Linked DNA regions of Caenorhabditis elegans. The protein of the gene in region 1 purifies or fractionates together with the protein of each later gene. This does not show direct contact. Each region holds a gene or a part of one and is shown in the gene's direction. Other genes may lie near its edges.

Region 1 (5,750 bases):
TGGTGCGCTTTCCGCTTCCAGTGGTGAGATCCTAAAATTGAAATTATTCAGTTTAAATACAATATATGCATTGCACTGACCGGTCCTCCGGTTTGCTCGAATGCGGCAGCCATTTCTTCAGCAGTCGACGACATCTCGTTGGTAATTTTCTGCAACAAAAAATTATTATAAAGCTTAGAGACGTGTAAGCAACACAAAAATGAGAGAATGAACCGACACAAGAATGACCAAAACAAGTGTTATCAAAGTGAAATGGACGATGATTGGCAGTTGCATGATTAGAAAGAAGTAGGCAGAAAAGGGAGGAGAGTGCCAAGAAAACAAAACTGTGAAAGAACCGATTGAATAGCATTTGAAACGATTGGAGTGTGTTTATTTGAAGGACGATAGTGACAAATCTAAATTTTGGCGCGCGTAGTGTTGACGAAGATCAAATCTATTTACAAGTGTAAATGTTTAAAATCGATAATTTGAAATTTTCGATTAGGAATAAGGCTGAAAAGTATTTAAACAAAGCTTCAATTGAGAAATACCAGAAAAATTCGTTAAAAATTTTCAACGAGTTTAAAGGAGGGCGCATTTGTGTGGAATTTGTGTGGCGTAGAGATTTCTTTATTGATTTTTCTCGTTTTTTTTTTTTAATATTCTGACTTATATTGCGTTTATCAGCCATAATAAATGTTAAAAAGGTCGAAAATGAGAAAAATCAATGGAGAATGAAAAACAACTCTAAATGAGAGTGCGTTTTTGTAGAAAAGCTCTACAAAAGTGAGAAATAAAGTAACGTTTTCAGGCTTTTTTTCAAGAATAGAAATCTGCCTGAATATTTTTAGCGAATCAACAGCAGACGGACAGTTTCATTCAAATACTCGTATTTATACATTTGCGTTGGCGCCAGAGACACGTGATGGATAGACGAGCGGAGACCATCGAAAAAAGTAAAAATGAAAAGAGACGCAGAGCAGCACATTTTGAGGGCTGACTTGTTTCTGCTAGATATATTGGTGCGGTGTCATCGAAGGCACAGAACAAAAAGAAAAAAGAAGCAAGAAAGAAAAAAAAGAAACGAACAAACAAGACAAAAAAAATAAATCGATCGGAACAAAGCACCGATAGATCATAAAATGGTGATAAATAAAACAATGTATATCGAAAAGAGGAATGATTTATTTTTTCAATGGAGGGAATGAACACAATCTCATTAAGGCCTTAGAATGAGAAAATTCGGCAAGTGATACAGTTTTTGATCATGGACCTGTGACAATAAGTCAAAATTGCAAGGGGTGAATTAAAGGTTTACAAAGGATAAAGAAATACATTTATGTCGTGGAGCGCAAAGTAGGAACGTGTCTTGTCGTGAGCATTTAAGCCGAATAAGGAGAATAAGCTGGTGGAGCGGTTCCGTGGTCATTCTGAAATAATTTTAATTTAAACATTTATTAAGCTTTGTAGAAAGACAACAAAGGAAACAGTAGGATGAATCATGGACAAGAAACCGACCCCCTTGTAATAAATTTCAAAAAAAAAGTCACCATTTTATCAAGATTCAAGGGTATCTGTTGTTCTGAAATTTGACAAATCACTATCTTTTTCCTTTTGGCTAATCTTTTTTCCAACTATCCACTTACAGTCTGCACGTATATGTTCTGAACGACAGTCTTCTCCTTGCAAAGGATGATGTACCACGCGTGAATGATTCCTGGGATGATCCCGAGACAGGTGAGAAGAATGTTGATGAGGAGGTCACAGTTGCATCCAACATCCAGAAGCACAGCGATTGGCTGGAAAATAGTGGTTGAAGAATGGTTTCAGACTGAAGAACTCACCGGAAGGAAAATTGCAAGGATGGCGAGAAGAATCTGGCACATTTCGTTTTCGTTTCGACGAGACTTGAGCTGAAAAACAGAGATTATTGGGAGAATTGCAAGTATTGAAGATAGATTAAAAAAGTGTGAGATTTCGGTGATTAAATTAAACTATAAAGTCATCACTTCCAGCAACACGGAAGGTTTATCGATTGACGATGAATCAAAAAATTGCGCAATCGACGAACGCGATTGTGGTTAGAATCACAAGACAACACCTCGCTCGTTGGCTATCGCTGTGTGTCTGCTCTCTCTTCAGAACTCTCGTGCTCTAATACAGAGAAGCATGAAATGTGGTGCTTGGTGCCTAAGGAATTTTTTAATATAAAAGTTGACGTGTCAGAATCATTCATTTGAAGAAAATGCAGAAGAAGAAGTAGAAATACTGTGAAAATTGTTTTTAGTATGGGTTGTAATTGTTTATTTCAGACAGTAAATTGTAAAGCTAAATATGTTGTGAAAACAATTTAATTTTAGAAATATTATTTTTAATCTTCAATCAATGTAGCAATTTTCAAGAGAAAATAATGCGAAAACCTGATTTTCTTTTGATAAAAAAGAATAAAGTTTGAAAAACAAACATGTAAACAAGTTACGGTGAATGTTCACAGAACCTGCATACAGATTCGGTGTTTGCGTACATGTGTACCGTACCCACAAACAAAAAACATGCGTTGATTGGAAATTTCGCAATTAACTTTTATTTTTGTCACTAAAATTATTATTAAAATATTTAGTTTCATAATTTCTCATAAAATATTTTCAGATAATGTCCGATATTGAGATTATTGAAGAAATTCAACCAGTTTCGTTGAAGCGGAAGCAGCCGAGTACTTCTTTCAATGGAAAAAGGTTTCTTTTTGGAAAATAATCGAATTTTTTGATATTTTCCTTTTTAGAAAAAGAACTTCTTCTGGGCTTATAGAAAAAAGCGAAACAATGAAAGGAACGGAAACAGAGTTTGAGGTAACCTTCACAATATTCACTTCAGTTGATTTTTTTTGTTTTTCAGAAGTTCGTCATTGATCGCACCATCACTCCACAAAGAAAATTGAATGCAGAAGATGTAGAAAAAAGTGGAGAAGATATAGGGTAAAAAAATATATAGTTAATTCAATGACTTTTCCAATAAAAATTCATTGCAGGTCGAGCGAGTGGCGTAAACGCCTTGAATGCACTCTTCTCGGAAGCGTTTCGACCCCAGTAACTGTGAAGAAGGAGAATAACATTAGAAAGAAAATAGTAAGCTTTTATTCATTCACAAAGCTTCTTAAACTAGGAATTTGTTTCAGTCTTGTTTCAATTGTGATGGCGAACACAACCTGAGAGATTGTACTCAGCGGAAAGATTTCAGACGAATTTCAAGGAAAAAGAGGGAATCTGGTGATGGAAGGCAAAGAGTTTTCTATAATGACGTTGGAATATCAAAACAAAGAGAGAAACATTTCAAACCTGGTGTGATCAGCGATAGATTAAGAGCCGCTCTTGGATTGCGTGGGAATGATATTCCGGAGCACATTTATCGAATGAGAAGACTTGGGTTAATCGATGGATATCCGCCAGGCTGGTTGAGAAAGTATGAAAATGGTAAATTTATGCAATTTAATATTGTTATTAATTTCAGATCAATCAAATCCACCGATCAATTGAAATTCTTCGACTCGACATCCAAAGAAGATGATGAAATGTCAGTGAAGCCTCCTGAATTAGATACATCGAAAATTGTATGGTATCCAGGATTCAATGGAGAACAATCTTCTCTAAATGATGTAAGAACAAATATGTTGTCACTTTAGAAATTACATTTTTATAGCGTGAAGACTTCAAGATTCCACCAAGAGATGTATTTTGCTCAGTTTATCAAGATGAATTGCTGAAAATATTCAAGAAAAGTGAAAAAGCGGAGAAACGAAGAGCCAAATCAACTCCGAAACATAAAAAGTTCGCTAATGAAGATGATGATGATGTTATAGTAATCACAAGTGATGAAATCAAAATTGACAAGTTCAATACTCCGGGAGAAGTAAATTAAATTAAAATAAAAATTCAATATCAGTTACTTTTCCAGGAAGATTCCATTATAATACTCGACGGCTCTGCTTCAACAGAAGAAAAACACCTTTTGACTCCGATTCGAAAAGATGTAAAACTAGGAGAATCGATGTTTGAATTAATCGGAACTCCAGTGTTTGGTAGCTCTCTTCTTACTCCTGTTGCTCCACTTGAAGCGTTTGCCGTCGGAATTCAACCATTTGAAGCAAGAGAAGAACTTACTGGATGCAAGGGAAACTTCAGAAATCTCATGGACAAATTGAAAGAAATCCGCGAAAATAACTTCGTTCCGGAGCCTGAAGAAGAAGTTATTTTGGTTTCAACGAATGAAATTTCGTCGTCGAATAACTCTGGAACTGCTAAGAACAAAAATAATCAGAACAGGAAAAGAAATAGAAGACATGCTAAATGAATTGGCTTTTTGAAAAATCCTTTTGTTGAATTATTGTTGTTGCTTAAAATTGTTGTTGTTGTTCCATATTTTTACGCAAAACTACCATGATAAAACCTTTTTTCTTGATTTTCCAACCTCTCTCTTGTTGTAAATGGTTCCGAATGTCCACAATCTTCTATTTTGGTCATCAATTATATCTTTATCTCTGCGTTTCTTTCACTCTTGCCGCTTTCCGATGGATTGGTGACACACAGCAAATATCGGTTTTCTCAATTTAAACTAAATTGGTCTAATTGGCTTATGTTTAATCAGATTATTTCGAGAAACCTGTGAATATTAAAAAGATGGTATAGGTTTTGAGGGATTTTTTGCCGAATTTATTTTTTAGAAAGTGATGGAATTTTTTATGATTGCAAATTTTTTTAAAAATTATTTAAAAACGAGCTGAATTATTTTTTGAATTCCCGCGCAAACGAATTCCTAAAGTTTCGACGTTTTCAGGTTATATTATTAAGGTTTTTATTAAATTATTGATTCGAAACATAATTTTGTAAAACTTTCATACATTTTTTCCCGCAAAACAAGTTTACATTATTGATTTGAGGCCAGATTTAGAGTTTCAGAGAAGTTCTTTAGATTAACAAAATAAAATAAAAAGAAACCCCAATTAATATAGCCGGAAAAAGCAAAAAATATCGAAATTGTGTAGATCACTTGCGCGGGAATTCAGAAAAAGTTTAGCCTTTTTAATCATTTTTTTTCCAAAATTGAAAAAAATCATTTAAAACAATGTTCAAATTTTGTAATTTTGTTACAGTTATTTTCGGTAAATATATTGAGATTGTTATTGTTAATTAGAAGGAAAACCTACAAAATCTGCTCCCATACCATGCATAACTATATTTAAGATCCGAAATCTTATTCAAAAAAGTAATAAAATTAATTGAAACCTTTTTTCCAGGCCACCAGTTGTTCTTATCATTCATTCGTGACAATTTATTCATTGCATTCTTTTTCTTTCGTTCAGGCAGCGGTCCACTGGCTTGTCCATCCGATTGTTTGCACATAAAGTGTATGATGACTCATCACATTCCTTTTCCCTCTCTTCTTATTCTGTTCTCACTCAAAATAATTTTTTGTTATGATTTTCAACCTTCTTCGTCTCGAACTAAATTTATGAATTTTTTGAAATATTCAAAGTTTTCAGCGGATTCTTTCCATCGTTTCTAAATCACAAAACACAATGGTTGATCGACTTGGTAAGTTTTATTTATTTTCTTTTATAAAATAATTTATTAAATTTTAGTGAATAGTGAAGTGAATTCCCGTCGAATGGCTAACGTAGAACAATGCTTTGGAAAAATGGGAGAACAATTGTCGGTATTCGGACGAGTTCTTGTCGGAGAAGGTGTTCTTGTGAAAATGTGCCGAAAGAAACC
Region 2 (5,750 bases), on another chromosome or scaffold:
GCGTTTGATTTCCAGAAACTGATTGTTTCGTTGCTACGACTGCTTCTGAACTTGAGCGACCGCGACGCGACCGCACCGCACTCAAAAAACTAAAGTTGTCTGATCATAGGCAAAATGGGGGTCAAACAAAAGCTAAGAACGTCAAAAATTCAAAAATCGTATTTTCAACCTTTAAAAGCGAACTATTCTAATGTTACGGTTAGAAACCGCGACGCGACCGCACCGCACTCAAAATACCAAAGTTGTCAGATTATAGGCAATATGGGGGTCAAATGAAAGCTAAGAACGTCAGAATTTCAAAAATACACAAATTAAAACATAAAACTGGAAAAAAAAATGGCTCACCAGTTCCATCCTCATACAGCTTGATCTTCACATCCTTCACAGCTTGGCCGTTGCAAGTGAGCTTACCAACTACAGTAACCGTCTGCTTTCTACCAACAATTCCGCCGAGCCCGTGAGCCACGGCTAAAGTCGCAAGGAAGAGCAGACAAAGTTTGAGCATCGTTTGAGCAGATTCTCAGGAAGTTTCCGTGAGTTTTGCTCCCGGTTTTTATGGGATTTTCGGGTGACAAACATGTTTTTCTGGTCCCCAGCGGCATGTTTACACTAAACAACAACTGTTCCGTTAGATAATCACCTAATCGCCGACTTTTATCCGTTTCTCATCTCGTCTGATTTCCCTGATTTCTTATCATTTTCCTGGATTTCTTATCGATTCCCGGTCGACTCCTGAGCAATGTTCAAAGAAATTCTGCTCATTTCCACTGTTTTTCTGCTCACTGATGCCTTGGGAGGTATTGTTGGGAGTAAACAGACGGTCACTGTGGTCGGCAAACTGGTCTGTAACGGAGCACCGGCTAGAGACGTCCGTGTGAAGCTTTTCGAGGATGGAACTAGTAAGTTGAAAGTTTCAAATTCGATTTTTTCAAGTTGAAAATGTCTCACCACGCTGTTAGCTTCAATTTGGCACTCATATTGCCTGTATTTGGACAATTTTTGGTTTTAGGGCACGGCGCGGTTGCGTCGCGGTTTCTAATAGTCACTATTTACCGTAAAATTAGAGCAGTTCGTTTTTAAGGATCAAAATTACGATTTTTGTATTTCTGACGTTCTTAGCTTTTATTTGACCCCCATAACGACTATATTCGGATAACTTTGGTTTTTTGAGTGCGGTGCGGTCGCGTCGCGTGTCAAATGCAAAAATTATTGTAAAGCTCCACAATGGCAAACATTTTTGAACAAAGACGTTGTATTAATCATAACTCAAAAACTTACCGCGTTGAAGCATGAAAAATGCAATTTCAATTTTCGCCGCGTTGCGGTCGCGTCGCGGTCACACACCCCAAAATTCAAATTTGTCCGAACATAGTCAATATGGGTGTCAAAATTCTTGTCTTGACCTGGAAAATCTGAATTTCCTAGTTTTAACAACAAAAATGTTAACTTTGAACATTTTATTTCACAAAAATACAATTTTCTGCAGTCTACGACACGAAAATGGACTCGGTGAAAACAATTGCTGATGGAACATTCAAGGTCTCGGGATCCCAGAATAAAATCCGCAAGATTGACCCGAAAATCAATATTTATCATAAATGCAACTATTCTGGAGTAGGTTTTTGGAGAAAAAAATTGAAAAAATTCGATTTTTTTCCTATTTAAAAAAAATTCAAAAATTTTGAAATTTTCAGCTCTGCCCAAAAAAAGTGACTATTCATGTTCCAAAAAATGCAGTTGGTAAAGGATCCAAAGAAGCTCAACTTTTCGACATCGGAACCCTCAATTTGGCTAACAGATACCCAGGAGAGGGCACTGATTGCATTCATTAAACTTTTTTTGTAATTTTTTGATAATTTTTATGTTTTAATTGGCATTTTTCATAAAATAAACGTTTAATTACAATTTTTAAAGTGTTTCTGTAAAAAAAATGAGCAAATTCTGACAAATATAGCCTAAAACCATGAGAGGGACACTTATGGGACACCTATGGGACATTCGGGGACACCAGGGGACATTTTAAACAATAAAAATGTAAAATTCGTGTTCTTCATAAAATTTGCAAAATTTTAACACCCATATTGATTATACTCTGAACATTTGGACGTTTTGGCCAAAAAACGGCCCAGAACGGCCTGAAACTGGCCCGAAACTCAAAATTTATTGAAAAATAGATTTTCTTCACCTAAAACTTCAAGATAATTTTCAGCCTTTTGATTTAACTTGCATAACAATGAAATGTTGAATTTCAGGCCAATTTCAGGCCATTTCAGGCCGTTCTAGACTTGAAATATGAGCACCACGAATTTAGGTCAAGGTAAGTGTAGAAATTTTGCAGTAATAAGAAAAACCTAAAAGTGAAAACGCAGTTCCAGAAAATCTAGAAATTCAGGCCTGAAACGGCCTGAAACGGCCCGAATCGGTCCAAATCATTTCGACAAGCCCAGTTTCTTGAAATATAGCCGATGTAAATGTCAAATCCATAAAAATGATATAAAAAATATTGCCATGTACATTAAAAAAAAAATTTTTTTTGGAAAAATATTTGAACCGTTCAAAATTAAACCATTTTTCATGTTTTAATTTGCAATATAAACGCTTAACTACATCTATGCAAGTGTTTCTGTAAAAAAAGAGCAACTTCTGACAAATATAGCCTGAAAACCACGAGTGGGACACTTATGGGACACCTATGGGACATTCGGGGACACCCGGTAAAATTTTGAGAAATATGAACTCAAAATTCGTGTTCTTCATGAAATTTGCCTAGTTTTGAAACCCATATTGGCTATGTTCTACAAACTTTGAAATTTTGGGCAAAAAACGGCCCGGAGCCTGAAAATGGCCTGAAATACAAAACTTTCCTTTAAATAACTTTTATTTCACAGTTTCAAATTTTTCAAAAACGTTTGCTGAAATTATCGACATATACCCGTCAATATTTGTTTTCAAGCCTAGAACGGCCTGAACTGTCCTAAAACTGGTCTGAAATTCAATTTTCCGCAAACATAACCAATTTAGTAGTTCCTTATACAAGTTGGCAAATTACTACAAACGCACTGGCATTAAACTGAGTGTATTGATATTTGGGCTCCAAAAAGCCCGAAACGGCCTAAAACTGGTCTGAAATTCAAATTTCCTCGAATATAGCCAATATGGGGGTCAAATAAACGGAAATTTTATGAAGATTCCAAATTTTCATGTAACAAGGCTTGAAAAAAATCAAAATTTTCAATAACTTGCTCATAAATTAATTTTTCAACCCCCTGTCAACACCAAAAATCTATAAAAGAACCCCAACAAATTCGATGTCGAAATGTGCAGAATCACCCCGATCTTTCCAACTTTTTCCCCCGAAAAAGTGGAAAATTTTACGATTTCGGCCATAAAACTCGGAAGCTTAAAAGCCAACCGTAGCCCGAGGCAATCAAAATTTCGCCGCGAAAATGCAAGTTTTCGTGATTTTCCTGGTGGTTCTACCCATTTCAGGGGTAGTTTCCATCAATATTACAGAACCCGAATTTTTTGAAATTAATATCGATCGGGACCATCCGGAGAAGCTCTACAAGGCTTTTGAGGATTTTAAAAAAAAGTGAGTTTTTTTAATAACGAAAACTTGGCCCAAACTTCAAAATTTTGAAAAATCAATTAAAAATTCGGATTCCCCATAGCAAATAACCCCTACGCCTGAGTTTTCAGAATTTTAGTGCAAAATCCCGTCAAATCGGGTGCCGGGTACGCAAACACCAGGCTACAGTAACCCAAAACACCGGATTTGACGACATTTCGCACGAAATTGTTGAAAAATAGGGTGCAGGGGTAATTTTGGGTGGAGAATTCGAATTTTTACATAATTTTTCAAAAAAAAAATGGTTTTGAAGTGTTGAAATTTCGATTTTCAGAAATAATTGAACATTTCTATTAAAATTTTTCAGAAATCTTATTGTTGCCGTTTTAAGCCACTTTTGAGAAAAAAAACATAATTTTTCACAGGTACAACCGAAAATACAAGGACGAGTCGGAGAATCAGCAGAGATTCAATAATTTCGTAAAATCCTACAACAATGTCGATAAGTAAGTGAAAAAAAACATGGCCCAAACTTCAGAATTTTCAAATTTCGAGTCGAAATTCGGATTCTACGTAGCAAATAACCACTAACCCCGTTTTTCAAAAATTTAGCGCAAAATTCCGTCAAATTGGGTGTAAGGTCCACAAACACTAGGCTACAGTAACCAAAAACACCAGATTTGACGCAAAATTGCACTAAAGCGTTGAAAATTTCGGGACAGGGGTAATTTGAGGCGTAGATTTCGAATTTCATAATGAAAATGTTTTAAATTTGAGTTTAAAAATGAAATTTTTGAATAAAAAATTTCGAAAAAAAATTTCAAAAAAATTTTTTTTTTTCGGTTTTTTTTCAATTTTTTTCAGATTAAACGCAAAGTCAAAAGCAGCCGGATATGACACCCAATTTGGCATTAACAAGTTTTCTGACCTATCCACCGCCGAATTCCACGGCCGTTTGTCCAATGTAGTGCCCAGCAACAATACAGGGCTCCCAATGCTCAACTTCGACAAGAAAAAACCGGATTTTCGCGCGGCCGACATGAATAAAACACGCCATAAGCGTAGATCAACACGCTATCCAGACTATTTCGACTTGAGAAACGAGAAAATCAACGGGCGATACATTGTGGGCCCGATCAAGGATCAGGGGCAATGTGCGTGTTGCTGGGGATTCGCGGTCACCGCACTGGTGGAGACTGTGTATGCAGCACATTCTGGAAAGTTTAAGGTAAAAATAAAACAATTATTTGAAAAATTTGAATGAAAACTGTGAAAGTTCGAGGAAAATCGGTGAAAAATTGGCGTGAAAACTCGAATTTTTCGATTTTTTTTTGAAAACAGAAAACATTGCCGTTGGAGCGCATTTACACCCTCTAGCCTGAAATTTAATTCTATTTTTCTGTAAATATATCGTAGATCACATTTTTTGCTATGTTTTCCATTTTGAAAAATGGCAAAGTTACGTTAGTTTCAAGTGTTTAAAGCGAAGTTGAACGAATTTTCAGTAGGTTCTCAGCGGAGTGCGTTTACTGCTTTTACACTAAATTTTATTAGACTTTGACTATTTTAATATTAAACTTTGCAAAAATTGGTATTGTACACGTTTTTTAAATTTGGAAAATCTTGAAAATTGGCCAAATTACGGATGTTTCAAATTTTCTAGTCAAAATACACAGAGTTTTGAGGAGTTCTCATTGGAGCGCATTTACAACCCCTAAACTAACTTTTCTCTTATTTTTTTGTGCATAGTTAATGTAGATCACATGTTTCTCTACTAGTTTCTTTTGGAAAAATAAGAAAATCTTGAAAACTGGCCAAGATACGATTTTTCACAAATTTGGGTCAAAAAATGAGAAATTTTGAAATATTCTTATTGAAACGCATTGGCAAGCCCAAAACTAATTTTTTTTTTCAAATTTTCAATGTATTTAGTGTAGATCACATGTTATTTCACTAGTTTCTTTTTTAAAAATAAGAAAATCTTGAAAATTGACCTATTTACGGATGTTTCAAATTTTCTAGTCAAAATCAACAGAATTTGTAAGAATTCTCATTGGAGCGCATTTACAACCTCAAAACTGACATTTTTTCATGATTGACTACTACAAATATAGCAGATCATATAATTAGGCGCAATTTTCAGTTTGAAACTAAAAAAAATCTTAAAAATTGGCAAAGTTAC
Region 3 (5,750 bases), on another chromosome or scaffold:
AAAAAGCTTGGGAAAAACTTTTAAAAATTCTGAAAAAATGATGACATGGTGCATCGAGCATGTTTCTTTCGTCACTAATAAACCTGACAGGTGGTGGTGAAGTACCGAATCGGAACATGGTGCATAAGAAAAGCGGATTAGGGAAAAAGAGGTCTTTGATGAGAAACGCGTTCCTAAAGAACAGGTGGTAAAAAATTTTCATTTTGATTAGAAACAAATTTTGCAAGAAAAATCAAGGGGCAGGTGGCACCGGAATTTTCAGACGAAAATTTGAATTTTTAGGGAAAAATTTGGAGTCCGGGGAGTCACAGTGAAAGTAGAGAATTTTCTGAAAATTTGAGTACATAATTCAGTACTTCTACAGTACCCCTGCAGTGCCCCTAAAGTAACCATAACAGTATCCTAAGGTTTCTCTACAGTACCACTACAGTACCTCTACATAACCGCTACAGTACCCCCTTACAGTACGACTACACTAAACTACAGTACCCCACACAATATCATTACAGTATCCCTACAGCAACGCTACGTCAACCCTACAGTACGCTTACAGTATCTATACAGTACCCATACAGTGTCACTACAATACACCTAAATTGCTGACCCCCCCCCCCCCCCCCCCTACTTGACAGACGATACAGTACCAGTACCCCTACCAAAATATTTCGTTTTTTTTTTCAAACAATTAAGCTTGGCAATCCTGACCTACTCTAAATAATTAGACCATAGGCCGTGCATTTAGGTGTATGAGGGATTAAATAATGGACCCCCCCCCCCCCCACTCTCAGAGACAGATGGTACTGTATCGTCTGTCAAGTAGGGGGGGGGGGGGTCAGCAATTTGACCCACTCGGATGAACTGTGATTAAGTAATGGATTTCACGAATGGGCAATGTGTTTTTCTGAGGAAAATGAAAAAAATTCAGAAGAAAAACATGCTAATTCAATAATCTTCCCACGGCTGTCAATTATGGGGACTGTTTTTTCAATATTTTGGAAAAATGAGACTTCGGCAAGTGAAGGGTTCCTATGTATATTGGGATTAGTGTACTGTCGGGGGTACTGTAGGGTTACTCGAGGGGGTACTGTAGTGGTGCTAGGGGGATACTGTAGGGGCTTCTGTGAGGTTACAATTGTGGTACTGTAGGGTTACTGTAGGGTTGCGGTAGGGGTTCTGTAGTGATACTGTAGAATTGCTGTCGGCTTACTATAGTGTTGCTGTAGTGTTGCTGTAGGGTTACGGTACAGATACTGTAGGGGTACTGTAGTAATAATTTAGGATAACTCGAGGGGTTCCTTAGTGGTACTGTAGTGATAATTTAGTAGTACTGTAGGCCTATTGTAGCGTTACTGTAAGGGTATCATAGTGGTACTTACTCGATGGAGTACTGTAGCATTACTGTAGGGTTACGGTAGCGTTTCTGTAGGGGAGCTGTAGTGGTACTGTATGGTTACTGTAAGAGTACTTTAGGGTTACTGTAGGGATGATGTTGGGGTACTGTAGGACTACTGTAGGAGTAGTGGGACTGAGACGATAAATTCTTAATTTTCTTCAAGTGGTTTGGTCAGTCACCCATACATCCCGAGAAGTCTATTCCATTTCCACCTGTTTCAATGTAAAAAACTCAATTTAAACATTCAAAACTTTATTTTTTCTACTCAAAAATCAATCAATCAGCTTTCTGTGGCGACTTTGCAGGCGAAGCACTAGTTGGCGTACGTGCTTGTGGTGGACGGATGCGTGGAAGAACCGGTGCACGGGGGACCAGGTCTCGACGCGAAATCACACTGCAGGCTTCGATAAGGACTGAAAAATGAATATTGTAGGTTTAAGGTAGGCACATGGTAAATAAAATTTCGAATCACTAAAAAATTGTATCAGTAACCAGACAACAAACAAGAGATTATCAACGGATTTAGTACTGAAGCCTCTGAAAAAGAAAATAGAAAAATCCGGTTGTTTTGCTACCAAAAAAATACGTTCAGGATAATTTTTTCGCTGAAAAAAGGGGAGAATTATCGATTTTCTCTACCTGCAACAATTCCGGTAGACGGTTTCCATTGATTTTCCTCCAAAAACAGGAATTTCATATTTTTATCAGTTTTGCAAGTGATCGCCGGCGGCGAGAACGGGAATTTCGGCGGAATTGCGACGGTTACGATGTACTCGGTGTAGGGCGGTCCGTACTGAAATTTGATTATTGATTTTTTTTTTGCGTGGCGCCGCCGCTCTCACCGTCTTTAGAGTCACGTCAAAGCAAGTTTTCGACGGCGGCGGCTCGAATCTCACCGCGTAGAACATTCCAGAACCCTCGACAGCCGACGCCTGGAAAAGAATTAATATTTAGAAAATACATCGATTTTTGTTCTGAAAGTAGGGCTCCCATGAGGTCGCCGCATGAATAGTGTGGCGCGGAACCGCAAACATGTCGGCCGCTACCAAATAGCCGCTCCACACACACAGCGGCGCGCGGTGTCGGCGTAAGGCCGGCCGGATAGGGCCAGAGAGGGGCCGGCGTGAAGCCCGAATTTTGCGCCTCACTCAGTTGGGAGCCCTGGGAGCCCCATTTGAAACATTTTTAACTTTCCCAGAAATTCTCGACAATTTTCTGAAAACCTGTCGGTTTTTTTATTGATTTTTCCCCAAAAATCAATAAACTAGAACGCTAACTCACCACGACGCTATCGATCCGTTTTTCGCAAACTTTTTGCATTATTACTTTGAAATTTTCGTGAAATAAATGTTATTCTGGTGTTGGTTGTGTTGTTTTTTGCCGTCGACAGTGAGTTTTCACGTTTTATCGATTTTTTCGAGCATTATCGATTTATCCCGAAAAATCAATAAACTGGAACGTCACGATGCTATCGATTCGTTTTACGCAATCTTTTTGCATTATTGCTCTGAAATTTTCGTAAAATGAATGTGATTCTGGTGTTGGTTGTGTTGTTTTTCGCCGGCGACTGTGAGTTTTTCATGTTTTATCGATTTTTTTCGGAAAAATTATCGATTTTTTTAATTTTCAGGTGCAAAAATCAGAAAAATTATTGATTTTTTGGAGAAAGATGCTCCGAATGATATTGAAAAAACACCCAACTATAATGAAGAAAGTCTGGCGGTGAAAAGGGTAAATTATCGATTTTTGCGATGGGGCGCGTTTGCATTTTTATGGAATTTAAATATTTTTAGAACAAAAACTTCAATCCTTGTCTGGAAAATCCGAAAATTTGCTCAAATCGGGGAAAATGCTTGCATGAAAATGGAAAGTGAGAGTTTTTGCCAACTTTTCAGATTAAAAAGGCAATATTTTCAGCTTCTATTGCATTTGCCCGGTCACACATTACGGAAAAACGTGTGAACACGTGTCAGATCAAACGAATTGCGAGAAACACTTGTGTCAGAATAATTCTACGTGTGTCAGGTTGGAAAACATTCGTTTTTTTCTGTGAATTTTTATGGCAACTGTTTCGGTGTACACAAGTTGTGTCTATGCCCTCCAGCCGTTAGTCGCCGGCGGAGAGATGGCCGAGCGGTCCAAGGCGCTGGTTTAAGGCACCAGTCCCTTCGGGGGCGTGGGTTCGAATCCCACTCTCTTCAGTTCTTTTTTTCCCTTTTTTAAATTATCATTACCTCTGTTTCAGCATCAAAAGCCTGCGGACTATTGTCAATACAGTTCTTTTGAGACAAATTCGTGTCCAAAGAAAAGTAAACGGATCCAAAGCAGCTTTAACAAATGAAGAATTGGCTGAAATCGATTTAGAAGTGAATTACGAGTGTATATGCCAAAAGGGGTACTTTGGCGGGTTATGCGATGAGTCTGAAGCAGATCGAACTTGCCAAGAAGTGTATTGTTTGGGCAGAGGCAAGGGAGCAATTAATGCGACTGGAAAATGCGAGTGTGAATGTGAAAATCAATTCTTTGGAGATAGAGTGAGCGTTTACAACTTCAGAATTTCTTCTGAAATATGTTTAAATTCCAGTGTGAACAAATATCAGCTTGCTTCGACACTCAATGTGATAATGGTGGAATATGTGAAGATGTGGTAGATTGGAAGGTATTTTTTTCAAGATTCGAGAAAATATTTTATCTAAACATAGAAAAACGTAAGCCCAATGCGGGGCTCGAACCCGCGACAACCAGATTAAGAGTCTGGTGCTCTACCGACTGAGCTAACCGGGCGGCGTTAACTCTTACAACAGAGGGTCTAGAGAAATGTTGGGTAACAACGAGACTTGATAGACAGAACAAAAAGTGACCTTCAAATTACACACCTTCTATTTCAGACCAAAACCGTCACTGCCACCTGTAAATGTCCTTCTGCGATTGAACTTATTGGTGGTACTGTAACAGGTGGGTAAAAAAAAAAAAAAAATATTTCAAATTCTGTGAATTTCAGAAAAATTTCAGGTGAAAACTGCGAAACCCTTCAAATTCCTTCAACAGCCCCCAAAGAATTTATTCCATGTGCCGAGGGAAGTAATTCGACGATGTTTTTTAAGAAATTCATCGCAAAGTAGGAAAAGTTTATAGAATGGTTGTAAAACTCACATTTTCAGTATTTCCTTGGAATATATGGATGACATTTCGGAGTTGGAAGCAATTAAAAATGACTACAATGATGGGAAGAATGTCAATGGGACGATGACTGATGGATGGTGTAGAAATGATGGGAAGTGTGTACCTGAAGTTGTTCGAGGTAGGAAAATTCAATTACCACAATTCTCCCGGTAACTCAACTTTTTTCTAACACCTTTTTGTCAGTACGTTCGCCGCCCGGTTAGCTCAGTCGGTAGAGCACCAGACTCTTAATCTGGTTGTCGCGGGTTCGAGCCCCGCATTGGGCTTACGTTTTTGTAAAAATTTTTAACACCGCGCTAAAACGTATGCACAAAATTCTGGCCTATGCCTGCCTTGTTCCATTCTCATACCTAATGTTTCAGTGAACAGCTCCCGAGCCTACTACATCTATCGCTGCGAATGTACCAATCCTCTCACCGACGGTTACTATTGTGAGTACAAACGCCATGACTCTTGCTCTTTGACTCGAGAGGAGGTGGCTCGCGGGGACCGGTGGGACGAAAAGTGCACGGATTCTCAACACGGAGCATGTGTGGATATTAGTGGAGTGGCTCATTGTGTGTTAGTGCACCTACCTGCCTGCCTTTTACCTAGTAGCCCTAATTTCAGATGCAAGCCGGACTACACCGGCGAGAAATGCGAAATCTTCGACCCGTGTGCTCGGCAACCTTGCAAGCACGGTGACTGTATCCCGGTAGGCACATCGAGGCCTCTGAAAATCAGCGAAAAAATTTCAGATACCGAACACTGCCGACGTGGCATTCGGCACAAGTCGCTATCAATGCTTATGCCCATTATCCGCAAAGTTGAACCCGGAAAGCCAAGCCTGCATGGAAATTAACGAGAAGAAGTGTGCTCCCGGAGCCTGTGGCAACGGACGGTGTGTTCCTTGTGAGAGGTAAGAGATTGCCTTTGTACCTACCTACCTACCTACCTACTTTAATATTTTCAGCGATGCCGATGACCTGATGCCTCTCTGTAACGACAATGACAATCGCCAGGGATTCCGATGCCTCTGCGAAGCCGGGTACCTTCCACCGTTTTGCAAAGTCCATACAAACCCCTGCTACCAAAACCTGTGCCAGAACAGTGCCACATGCCATATCGACCCAAAGCAGCGGAGTTATGAGTAGGGCTACAAACTACAGATACTGCAAACTACAGTCGTTCTTTT

The links.
Region 2: the proteins of ZK632.11 (region 1) and Y51A2D.8 fractionate together in Caenorhabditis elegans (co-fractionation; one large-scale study listed by BioGRID). This does not show direct contact.
Region 3: the proteins of ZK632.11 (region 1) and spe-9 fractionate together in Caenorhabditis elegans (co-fractionation; one large-scale study listed by BioGRID). This does not show direct contact.

The regions. Positions count from the first base shown.
Region 1 is NC_003281.10:9,825,284-9,831,033, forward strand, and holds ZK632.11 (uncharacterized protein), read left to right. Parts: upstream 1-2,631; 5' UTR 2,632-2,634; coding exon 2,635-2,717; intron 2,718-2,764; coding exon 2,765-2,831; intron 2,832-2,877; coding exon 2,878-2,957; intron 2,958-3,010; coding exon 3,011-3,107; intron 3,108-3,157; coding exon 3,158-3,441; intron 3,442-3,489; coding exon 3,490-3,634; intron 3,635-3,678; coding exon 3,679-3,888; intron 3,889-3,933; coding exon 3,934-4,329; 3' UTR 4,330-4,436; downstream 4,437-5,750. Other genes in the region: ZK632.9 (uncharacterized protein), read right to left, coding at 1-31, 81-134; UPF0057 membrane protein ZK632.10, read right to left, coding at 1,365-1,412, 1,629-1,781, 1,827-1,868; ZK632.12 (uncharacterized protein), read left to right, coding at 5,555-5,570, 5,618-5,750.
Region 2 is NC_003283.11:18,551,543-18,557,292, reverse strand, and holds the start of Y51A2D.8 (Cysteine proteinase), read left to right. Parts: upstream 1-3,442; 5' UTR 3,443-3,446; coding exon 3,447-3,592; intron 3,593-3,993; coding exon 3,994-4,074; intron 4,075-4,432; coding exon 4,433-4,796; intron 4,797-5,750. Other genes in the region: ttr-25 (TransThyretin-Related family domain), read right to left, coding at 346-505; ttr-24 (TransThyretin-Related family domain), read left to right, coding at 740-899, 1,487-1,614, 1,695-1,832.
Region 3 is NC_003279.8:11,583,214-11,588,963, reverse strand, and holds the start of spe-9 (Sperm transmembrane protein 9), read left to right. Parts: upstream 1-2,894; 5' UTR 2,895-2,916; coding exon 2,917-2,962; intron 2,963-3,023; coding exon 3,024-3,124; intron 3,125-3,186; coding exon 3,187-3,263; intron 3,264-3,310; coding exon 3,311-3,418; intron 3,419-3,507; exon of another isoform or gene 3,508-3,606; intron 3,607-3,638; coding exon 3,639-3,927; intron 3,928-3,977; coding exon 3,978-4,052; intron 4,053-4,104; exon of another isoform or gene 4,105-4,177; intron 4,178-4,281; coding exon 4,282-4,348; intron 4,349-4,405; coding exon 4,406-4,511; intron 4,512-4,554; coding exon 4,555-4,694; intron 4,695-4,763; exon of another isoform or gene 4,764-4,853; intron 4,854-4,938; coding exon 4,939-5,137; intron 5,138-5,185; coding exon 5,186-5,270; intron 5,271-5,313; coding exon 5,314-5,474; intron 5,475-5,528; coding exon 5,529-5,705; intron 5,706-5,750. Other genes in the region: C17D12.5 (UBC core domain-containing protein), read right to left, coding at 1,670-1,806, 2,033-2,186, 2,236-2,325, 2,675-2,713. UniProt on the Caenorhabditis elegans protein: Required for fertilization. May be required for cell adhesion and/or function as a signaling molecule.